Linked DNA regions of Ovis aries. The protein of the gene in region 2 purifies or fractionates together with the protein of the main gene of each other region. This does not show direct contact. Links are inferred from orthologs where the notes say so. Each region holds a gene or a part of one and is shown on either strand. Other genes may lie near its edges.

Region 1 (4,299 bases), on a different chromosome or scaffold from region 2:
CATTAACAGAACTTAGGAGCAACACTTATTCTCATGAAGATAAAAACACTGGAATAGACATCATTTTCATTGTATCACAAATAAGGAACTATAATAAGGTAATTCAGGAAAATTATAAGTTAATAAAGGCTTTATGTCAGATAAAATCTATTTTTTAATTAATCCCTACCATATGAAATTTAAAAATGGCAACTCTCAAGATGTTCTTTACATAAATTCAGCATTAAAGAGGAGAAATTATAAGAAAACTCTGAATTAAAAAAAATTCAGGCTTAATCAAAGAAAATACATTTTGGTGATGTTTAAAAAGGCAATATCTTTTAAAAATAAATATAGAAAATCATCTATCTACAGCACAAACAAAAATGAGAACAAAAAAGATCTCATTATGCCAGATGTCAAAACAGAATGTAAATTTGTAAATGGATCCCTTGTCTCCTGACAGCAATACTGAGTAGATGAAGCATATCAATTACTATCACTAATTACATTAAGGGGAATGTATTTCATTTGCCTTTATTTCATTTTAGATCAGCTGTTTATTGTGGTTAAAATTTCATACATCTTTCAAATGCTTAAGAACATATATGTTTTCCAAAGTTATTTTTGGCAAACTGCATGGCTTATTTGAACGGCTTTGTAGGTTTTCTCTTCTGATATATGGACTTCCTTGTTCAGTTAAGAGACTAACACCATACATTAGTTTATTTATAAGCATATCACTTTGCCTTTTAGACAGGATGCCACCACACTCTTGATATTGGCTGTTTTAAATATTCAAGAATATAGAGCTAACCCTATTTGATGAGTCAAATAAAGCTTAAGTGACAGAACAGAACATAGGAGATAGTTGTATAAAATATCTATAAATCTGCCACTTGATATGTCCACTCAAAAGTTTAAGATTACATAATTTAGAATGCAAATGTTAGTCAACCACAGGATACAAAGTTCTTTTAAGATGACAGTGAAGTACGTATTCTGCATAAAGATCTTTTCACATGCTTTCTCTTAACAAATTATCATTTTCTAAAGAAATCTCTACAAATCTCTATTTGTGGGTTCTATAGCTAATGTTATAAAAGTGCTGTTACTTTTAACTGGAATCTTCCTTGTTTATAAAACAGATAAAAGCACCAAAAACAAAATAGAAATCTGCCTCTAAAGCCTAGGTAAAGCGATAACAAACATACTTTCCACTTGGCATATTTTAGTTTATAGGAAATAAGACTCACGTACTTGAAAAGACATCTTTTTTAAAGTCATTTAATTCAATGTAGTTCAGACCTGTGTTTTCTTGGATTGCTTTGGTAACTGGATATAAAAGCATACTGTCTATTTCTCCTTATCCAAATAGTTACAATAAAGGAATACATCAAAAACATTTCTTTATAATGCTTATTTTTAAAATTATAGGAAACAATAAGAAATTAATATTTATCTCTTTTCTATACCTTTAATGAGCCCATCAATAACATCTTCAGTGAGGCTATAAAATAAACTTTTTACATTGTCTCAATTATTTTAAGATCACACATTCTATATGCAAAACATATTTAATAGAACACTCTTTATTGGATATTGCTTGACAGACATAAATATGTTTCCTGAAATGTTCTGGCGGTAAGAAATATGTAATGTTTTATTAGCAGAGTTGCTACAGCTTTAGGTACAGACGTTTCCAAACGGTTTTCATTTGTTGTGTGTCAAATGTTGATGGGTGAGAAGAGTAAACTTTGTGAGTTATACACTCACACACACACATTACACAAAACAAAACTTTCAAAAATAAATTATATATTTTCTGAAGTTCACCTCAGAATATACTTTGCTTTTTTTTTTCAGTTTCCACACTTCACTGAGAAAAAACTGTGTCAAATATTCCATAAAACCTTTATAGTCTCAATATATCACAATGCATACCAAAATATTCTCACACACTACATCAAACATGAACATTTTTGTTACTTGGTTTAAATAATACATGATTCATGCAATTTACTTTTGCTTATGAACTTTTCATACCAAATACATATACTACAAATGCCAACTGCATATCCTCATAAAAGCCTAATTGTATAGATACTGAAATATTAAAATGTAGTTTTTTATGGTATTTACATATCATTAAATATTTTTAAGTCAGCATTTTTGTCAGTCAGCATTTCAATATCTCAGACTTGGTACTTCATTTGCATGAATCAGCATCTGCTTATCTGTAAAATTCTGCATAATATATAATGTAGCTAAAACTACTTAGTGTCCAATTTGCATAGACAGCAGTAGTAACTTTAGAAATTTTGTCTTTGGATAAAATTATCCACTTAGTAGCACAAAAGAAAAGAATTTTAGGTTAAAACTAGCCATCCAAACAGTTCACACATATTTATCTGGAAACAAAAAACGTAGCATGAATTAGAATTGTCAAACACCAAGAGAAGCGTAAAATACCACTTACAGTGCTTTCTTCTGTAACTTAGTACACTCTGGTATAAGGTGCAAACTATAGTGGTGCACCTTTTGTAAATGTCTTCTACTAAATAAGTGGTATAAGAATTACACCAACATTAATTTCCTGCTGTTAAAAATTTAACTAATAGCTTTAAGAGTGAAGACATGACTTTGCAGAAGATGCCCTGTCTTAGATATTTAAATATATATGGGATGCATCTTACCTGTTTGCTGTATTTGTTATTGGTTTGACAGCTGTACTCAGAGCAGTGATCTGATCCAATTGAAATGTTGTCTCCTGCTCCCACAAACGTATTAGCTGGTGGTAGATCTTGTACGGCCTGGTGTTTTTTTCCTGCAGTTGGTGATTGGGGGTGAAGCTGGACAGTAGGCAAGGGGGAACTAGATTTGTAATGCCTGGCCAGGTCAGGACTGCCAGGCCCACCATTAACTGATCGGTATCGGCCCATGCTTGGGCTGTCTGACAGCTTCTCATTGACACTGTCATACCTCTGTCCATTTGGTTTAGAAGCTTCTACAGTGACAATGCTGCTATAGAGTGGCTGCTTAGATTTTTTGTTTTTCTTGTCCTTTTTAGGTTTTTTAGATTTGTCATGCTGTTGGGGTGTAAAAAAGTCTTCATGATCTTTTTTGCCGGCTTCATAGCCATTTTTATTTTTGGACCGGCAATATCTTGCCATCACTACAATTAAGATGATTAGAATCACAGTCATAATTCCAGCAACCACCCCAATGACAATACTGAGTCTCTGTTTGCTAATTTCATAGCTTGGGTCACCAGCTATATCCTGGGTGAGTGGGGTGTGCAAGCTTCTGGCTATTTGAGAGTCAATCACAGTTGCATTAGAAACACTTTCATTGACAAACACATGCACCAGAGTCGTGGTAGACTGGGAAGGCTGCCCACTGTCATTCACTTGCACCACCAACCTGTGCAAGCCATAATGCTTTTGGGTGAGTTTTCCCACTAAGGAAACCACACCACTGGTGGAATCAATCTCAAACAGCTTGAAGGGATTCCCTCCCACAATGCTGTAGTTAAGGTCTGCATTGATGCCATCATCACTGTCTGTTGCCAACACTGTAGCTACTACTGTCCTGACGTTACTTGAAGGTGGCAGTAAAGTGTAGGAAATATTTCTGGGAAGGGTGACAGTGGGAGCATTGTCATTCTCATCCATCACAAAGAGAGAGACCGTGGCTGTAGCAGATCTGGGAGGATCTCCCCCATCCACAGCTTTGACTCTGAAAGTGTATGTGGTCTGATGTTCTCTGTCAAAAGACATCGTGGAGTAAATAGTCCCCGTGTCATTTTCAATGGAAAAAATGTTACTGTTCTCCTCTATGTATAGGCTCATCTCTGCATTGCGCCCCTTGTCAGCATCCATCACTGTGACCATTCCCACGGGGCTGTTGGGCTGTAAATTTTCTTTCACATAAAAGGTAAAGACGTCCTGCATGAACTTAGGGTCATTGTCATTCTTGTCAGCCACCTGAACAATCACTGTGGTGCTGCCCTGTAGCACGGGGATGCCTTTGTCTCTGGCGTTAACTTTAAACTCGTACCTGTCAGTCTGCTCGCGGTCCAGCACGGTATTGACGAGAATGTCCCCAGAATCGGGATCGATGGCAAAGATCCCCATCACGGAAGAGTCCAGCGAGTAGGCGATTTCAGCGTTTTTCCCACTGTCCGCGTCTGTAGCCAGCACCGTGGCTACCCTCTCTCCCGGGATGTTGTTCTCAGGAAAGTACACCTCCACCACTGACTGGCCAAAGACAGGCGGGTTGTCGTTGGTGTCTCCCACCTTGACAATCAGGGAGTTGTTG
Region 2 (3,111 bases):
AGCTTAACCACTCACTTCATGTGCATAATAATATATAGTAAATGCTATAAATATTTGTTGACTGAATGTCTTCTAAGACTGCAGGTTGTGAACCCAAACTTCTATCACTTACAAAGTTCAAAGAGCTGGCCCTTTAGGCGGCTGAGTATTTTACAAAACCAAAGAACCAGTATTCAAAAGGAGCACCCAGAGAGACCATGGTCTTGGCTGCTTGTAGCAGAGCACGAACCATGTAAGCTATTTCCCCAAATGAACTGCTGATTCATAAAGCTCCTTTTAACAAGAGCAAAAGCCTTTAACTGCTACGTACTCTCTCTACTCTCTCTCCTGAGGATGGGAGCAGAGGCAGGCACCTGCAAGGCCTAGCTATTAACATTTAAGAGGCCCAACCACCTCTGCCTTAGGCCAACTATAGCCAAGCATAAACACATATACCCTAAATTTAATGGCTCTGGAGAAAAGCTTTAGTGTTTTAATACTGTCCTGTAATAATACTCTCAACTTTTTATTAGAACCTGGTGGCTGAGTAGAGTCGACTGCACTTGTGTTAGGGCTTGGGAGCCTGAGTGAGACATGCATGAAATGAAACAGGGTGTCCAGCTGTTGTGTGTTCAGAGACTTATCAGACACAAACAATTATTCATCATGAAGAACATTTTCAATACTGTCATAATATAAAACAAATATTTTAATTTTTCAAGTGTTTTCTTTTAAAAAAAAAATTTTTATACTTAAGTCAGCCTTGAAAATAAGCACAAAATCTACCTGTTTACATTTTTTAACTCAAAACACTCAAGCACCCATTCTGTGCATAGCACTATTCTAGGTGCAAGAAAAGGGAGTCTTAACTATAAAAACAGGATTTCACTTTCTGGAATTCTGTTATCTCCTTTCCAAAGAGTAAAAATAAATAAAATTACCATTGTTTACTGTTGACCTGCCCCCAAGCCCACTCCTGGCTCTCCGAAATGCTAGGTTCTGCCAAATTTAAGATGTTTCAATGAACTCAGTTCCTACTTCCCCCAAAATAAGAAAGCAGAACCCTTTTCCATTAAACAAATAAAAAAACAAACAATTTTCCATGAAAGGCCAGTTTCTATTTCCAGTTAAGTATTTTTCTTTTTTCCTCTCTAGATTTTCTTTAAGTTTTCTTCCTCCAACATTAGCTTTTCCTGTACAAGGCAAACCAACATTTTTTTCTGTTTTTTTTTTTCCCCCCCCTAAGAAAAAGTACTGCATCTTGAAGACAAACCATTCCCAAGACTGGTGATATTAAAACAAACAAACAAAAAACTTTAAAGGTGAATCACCTACATTGATGAAGTAGAAAAAAAAAAAAAAAAAAGCAGTTGGCACTAAGATAGCTATTCCAAATATCCATGTTTAAACAATTTAAAAAACTGTTTATTTATTTTGTAACAATGTACCCTAGTCCAAAGTTAACTATGTTTAAAAAAATTTTGGCCAAAAAATTTACACAAACATTTTCAGTTCAATCTAATAAAAGTGATATCTAGAAAATATTCCATATCATTAAGTCTGTCTTATATAGTTCAAATTCTAAAGCATTCCTAAGGCATGGTGTTCTGGAAGACAAATGTGCTTCTGTGGCGCTGCGTGACGTATGTGGCATCCAAGATTGGCTCCAAGCAGGCCCGGCAGGCACGTTCCTCCTGATGCTGTGAGACTGTGAGAGCAGAGTCAGACGTAGGCCCCCAGGGCTGCATGGAACTCTGTGAGACACTGGACTAGCTGCTGGAACTTGGGCCTCTCCTCCGGATCTAAGGCCCAGCAACAAGCCATCACAGCAAATCTGCAGTGACAAAACCAGAAAATTTGCCTATTGACGATATACTGGGTTGGCCAAAAAGTTTGGGTTTTTCCACAAGGTGTTACTCTTAACCTTTTGATCAATATGATACCAGCTACATTTTCAGTCTAAATGTAGGTGTGGAGAGGAAGACATATTAAAAATCAATCTCTTCGCAGAGCAAAAATGAGTTATGTGGACATTACATGTGGATTTCAATTCTGAAACATGTCAAAATATACCACCAAGTAGAGATTTTATGTAACTATTTAAAACACAGTCAAAATAATAATCTGCTTTATCCTGCACAGTTGATTCTTGAAGAACACAGCGGGGAGGGGAGCTGACCCTCTGCACAAGTCAAAAATTTGCATATAACTTATAGTTAGCCATTCATATCCCCAGTTCCTCCACATCCATATACTCAACCAGCCATAGGCTGTATGATACTGCAACATTTATCACTGAAAAAAAAATCTACATGGAAGTGGACCTGCAGAGCTCAAACCCACAATGTTCAAGGGTCAACTGTATGTAAGTTGTGAGAGAAAAAACTTGGAGGAAGGGGAAGCTGTAACTAAGCTGTAAGAATCCTGGATCTATAGCAAAATCTGTACAAAGCTGCCCCCTCATCACAGTATAAAAACCTCAGGGGATTCTGGAACTGAGACTTAATCACACCCCTGAAGAGCCTCCTGCCCACTCTGATCCCATTACATGGGAAGACTAGCTATGTGGTAAAAGCAGGAGACGGGAGATATCTCACTCATTAGACCAGAACATCTTCCTTATACGTATATCAATTCACACCAGCTGGCAAGGCCAGATGGCAAAGGGAAAGGCTCGATATAGAAGCAGAAGAGGGCGTCAGAGGGTAAGATGGCAGGATGGCATCACCAATGCAATGGATGTGAACTTGGGCAAACTTCGGGAGATGGTGAGGGACAAAGAGTTCTGGCATGCTGCAGTCCATGGGGTTGCAAAGAGTTGGTCATGATTGGGCGACTGAATAACAGCATGTTCAGTGTTTTCTCACTATGCAAATGAGTATCTTGGATTAATCACTACAAATATGAGACAAAAATGTCCTAATGTCAAATGCACTCAAGAGTGACTGAGTCTGGCTGACTTTGTGGTTTCTCTGTGTGCATGCTTACTCAGTCGTGTCCGACTCTTTGTGACCCTTTGGACTGGAGCCCATTAGGCTCCTCTGTCTACGGGATTTTTCAGGCAAGAATACTGGAGTGGGTTATCATTTCCTCCTCTTCTTCACCAAAGGATTGAACCCACATCTCCTGCAT
Region 3 (4,299 bases), on a different chromosome or scaffold from region 2:
CAGTCCTTCCAAAGAATATTCAGAAGTGATTTCCTTTAGGATGGACTGGTTGGATCTCCTTGCAGTCGGAGGGATTCTTAAGTCTTCTCCAACACCACAGTTCAAAAGCATCAATTCTTCAGCACTCAGCCTTCTTTATGGTCTAACTCTCACATCTGTACATGACTACTGGAAAAAACATAGCATTGACTACACAGACCTTTGTTGGCAAAATCCCTGCTTTTTAATATGCTGTCTAGGTTTGTCATAGCTTTTCCTCCAAGAAGCAAGCCATCTTTAATTTCATGGCTGAAGTCATCATCTGCAGTGATTTTGGAGCCCAAGAAAATAAAGTCTGTCACTGTTTCCATTGTTTCACCATCTATTTGCCATGAAGTGATGGCACTGGATGCCACGATCCTAGTTTTTTTGTTGAGTTTTAAGCCAGCTTTTTCACTCTCCTCTTTCACCTTCATCAAGAGGCTCTTTAGTTCTTCACTTTCTGCCATAAAGGTGGTGCCATCTGTTTATGTGAGGTTATTGATATTTCTCCTGGCAATCTTGATTCCAGCTTGTGCTTCATCTAGCCCAGCATTTCACATGATGTACTCGGTATATAAGTTAAATAAGCAGGGTGACAATACACAGCCTTGAAATACTCCTTTCCCAATTTTGAAATGGGCAGAAGACCCTATGCAGTAATCATGGGGATCTCCTAATGACCTCAGCAGAATTATTTGTAGATGTCTCCTACTTTCGGGCATTCTAATGTATAGCCCACAATTTAATCTGGCCCTCTAAAACCTGAAACTCAGCTTTTACTCTGAATCATGCTACTCTACACCATAAACCCTAGGTTCCAGCCACAGTCAAACCGCACTTCTCAAATCTGTTCAGCTTGAGATATGATTCTGTATCTGAAGTGCCACCTCTGCCCTTTATGTGGTAGTCAAGCTATTCTTAATAGCCGCCCCCTCTCCCTGACCCCTCAGAATTACAGTCCCTTTTTGGCGCTTTCAGAGAATGTACTTCCACTCCAGCTCTCACACAGCTGCAGTAGTTCTTCTCACACCTGTCTCCTCTACTCGTCCAGAATAATAGTTCATTGACAACTGATTTAAATTATGATATTAGGAACGGCACAACACCAAAACGGTTTTTTCTTTCTTGGAGAATAACGACACTGATACATACTTGAGAAGACTGAAATCTACTAAATGACCTCAAGGAAATAAAAACAACTGATATTTTCAGAGTCTATTCCACGGCCAGTACCGTCCGTCTGAAGTGCTTTACACATTAAGTCACTTAGGCCTCACAACAAGTCTATGAAAGAGAATCATTCCCACTTTCTAGATAAGACAGAAAGACAAGAGAGGATACAGAACTTCACAAAGAACTCCCAGCTGCAAGCCTGCTTACAAGTCTATTCTTCCACCTTACAAAGCTCACTCAGTAATTTTTTGATATGACCATACTTCATTAAATTAATATGTGTGGACATGTAACAGAAGATAGTACACGAAGATATTGGATACCTGAGCATTGGTCTTGGTGGAGGTGGCAGCTCATCAGGATCCTGGCATCTTTTAGCTTTTTTAGTGACTTGTTTGTAGATGTTCCGAGCTGTCACTCCCACCCATAGTACTGTAGCAAGAGTGGAATAATGAAGAATTATTCCAACCTAGAAAGAAGAATACATGAACTAAATGAATTCCCCTTTACAATCAAAATATAATAATTGCTAGTAAGCTTCCTCAAAAAGACTGGTAAGTTATTTTGAATATCTGACTCAAAAACTGTACAAAGGTATATTCTAATGATCCATTCCTTTGCCCACTAATGAACAAAGAAAGCACTCCAACAGACATATAATAGAGGACTGAATTTATAGTTGAATACAGGAGGCCCACGGACTACAACTTATACCTAAGATGACACTAAACATACCATGGAATTCATTCCTGGACAACAGTAAACCAAAGCCATGTTTCCCATAGATGCTATGTTATAAATCAGAGTTGAGTTCCTAAAGTCTATTTTAAAGAGGAATGCAGATGTCAAGGGTAAGTGAGAGCGAAAGTCGCTCAATCGTGTCCGACTCTTTGCGACCCCATGGACTATACAGTCCATGGAATCCTCCAGGCCATAATACTGGAGTGCGGTAGCCTTTCCCTTCTCCAGGGAATATTCCCAACCCAGGGATCGAACCCAGGTCTCCCACACTGCAGGTTGATTCTTTACCAGCTGAGCCACAAGGGACGCCCAAGAATACTGGAATGGGTAGCCTATCCCTTCTCCAGGAGATCTTCCCGACCCAGGAATCAAACTGGGGTCCCCTGCATTGCAGGCGGATTCTTTACCTTTAGCTATCAGGAGAACGTCAAGGGTAACTGGAGGGCAAAAGTCACAGCACAGAGAATAATCTTTGGAGTCAGAGACCTGAATAGTTCTAATTCACAGCTTTTATGTATCAAAATGGATGACAAGTGAGCAGTATAACAGATCGGTGAAATGAGTGAGCTCTAGAATTAACAATTTTGCCTGGTTTTAAAACCAGAATCTACCCCTTGTGACACCTTAGCAAACTCGCAGAATATCTCAAGCACTGTTCTCATTTGTAAACTGAGGATAATATCAAAGTACCACAAGGCTTTAAATAGAACACCCTATATAAAGCATTTAGCACTTTGCCTGGTACATTATACATGATTAAAAATACAGCAATATTTTTATTATTATTAGGAGTATGGTTTTAAGAAAATAACGTCAACATTCTTGAAATTAATGTTCCTCATTTGAACAGCAAAAAGACTATCCATAAGCATCCCTAGGGGTTTTTGTAGGGACTGAAAGGGCACAACACCTGGGACATAATAAGTACTCGAAAGATGATGGAGAACTGCAATATAGGTAAGTGATAACACTGAGCTCCTCCCAGAGGGATGATAGGGGGCATGTTTCCCTTGTGAACTGTGTCTGAAGCAACAGCAGTTAAAGATAAAATTCTAGATAAAAATAAACATGAGATAAGAGAGGTTTAAAATCTATTTTAAGAAAAACAAATGCATGGAGCAGCAAGGACATAATTCAACTTTCTTATCTAATTCTATCTTTTGATCCTTTCTTCTTATACAACGATTACAGGTGAAATTCTATGAATGAAAATTTCCAAGGGGGAAAAAAAAAAAACACTTTTTTTTAATTCAAAAAGGATGACTCTCCAATCTCAAGAAAATCAAACTGACTGACATCATCAATCCTACGTAAGTAACAGAAGCATCTAGACTGCTAAGGCTCATGTTAATGAGACATGAACCTCATTAGACTTGGTGACATGGAAGTACACAGATTATTTTGCAAGGCAAAAACTAGGGTGGTCACTTGTCCAGGGAAGTCACTACCCTCTCAATGGCTGAAAGGGCTAGGAGGGTGATCCAGCCTGGCCGAACCAGATGGTCAGAGTATCTTCATCTTTAAAAAATTTTTTTAATTTAATTTTTATTTATTTATATTTTGGTAGTGTTGTGCAACACAGGGGATCTTAGTTCCCCAATCAGTGATTGAACCTACGTCCCCTGCAATGGAAACATGGATTCTTAACCACTGGACCACCAGGGAAGTCCTCACAGTATCTTCTTCTTAAGCAGAAAAGTTGCTCCATGGTTCATACTAGCTTTACTCACTGCACTATAAAAGCAAAGCTTACAGATGCAAGTGGAACAAAAAGCATAAAATAACCCTCTGAGCTATCTGGAGTCACATCAGATGTTGTAAATAAAAATAGTATAATTGGATTTGGTGCATAAAAACCAAAACATTCAAAACCAATCAATGATATTGACTCAAAATGATATCCTCTACTGTTTCTACAGTTTTCTCCGATGTAGAGGTCAAAAGAATGAGACAAGGCTGTAAATAAGCTTCAAAACACAAGTTAAAAATATTTTCAACACAGAAGGTGCAAGATGGAGAATTTTCTTGTTTTAGATCTAAGAGGTAAAACTCAATCTTTAGATTTTGAAGTGTTTCCTATGGCATTTCAAAATTTGCAGAGAAGTGTTCATACTTAAAAGATCCTAAAGCCTTCCAGTTAAACAATTATTGCCATAGTGGAATTTTAGGGGTCTAAAGGCACCTGGTAATAGTCACATAAGCAAATCACCAAATGTTCTATAAGAAAGAATAAAGGAGGCACTGAGATCTAGTCTAGCAGCAATGTGTTCCTATCTTTTGGAAAGAGTTGCTTTCTATTTTGGGATTCCCAGGCAGCTCAGCAGTAAAGAATTCACCTGCCAATTCAGGAGACGCAAGGGACGC

Evidence for each region.
Region 1: the proteins of RYK (region 2) and PCDH7 purify together in Homo sapiens (affinity purification with mass spectrometry; 3 studies listed by BioGRID and IntAct, with this or other methods). This does not show direct contact. The link is inferred for Ovis aries from reciprocal best matches to the Homo sapiens genes RYK and PCDH7.
Region 3: the proteins of RYK (region 2) and ADGRA3 purify together in Homo sapiens (affinity purification with mass spectrometry; 3 studies listed by BioGRID and IntAct, with this or other methods). This does not show direct contact. The link is inferred for Ovis aries from reciprocal best matches to the Homo sapiens genes RYK and ADGRA3.

The regions. Positions count from the first base shown.
Region 1 is NC_056059.1:50,573,014-50,577,312, reverse strand, and holds part of PCDH7 (protocadherin-7), read right to left. Parts: coding exon 2,676-4,299; intron 1-2,675.
Region 2 is NC_056054.1:255,841,707-255,844,817, reverse strand, and holds the end of RYK (tyrosine-protein kinase RYK), read right to left. Parts: exon of another isoform or gene 1,814-3,111; coding exon 1,702-1,813; 3' UTR 671-1,701; downstream 1-670. UniProt on the Homo sapiens protein: May be a coreceptor along with FZD8 of Wnt proteins, such as WNT1, WNT3, WNT3A and WNT5A. Involved in neuron differentiation, axon guidance, corpus callosum establishment and neurite outgrowth.
Region 3 is NC_056059.1:42,569,991-42,574,289, forward strand, and holds part of ADGRA3 (adhesion G protein-coupled receptor A3), read right to left. Parts: intron 1,664-4,299; coding exon 1,518-1,663; intron 1-1,517. UniProt on the Homo sapiens protein: Orphan receptor that may have a role in planar cell polarity pathway.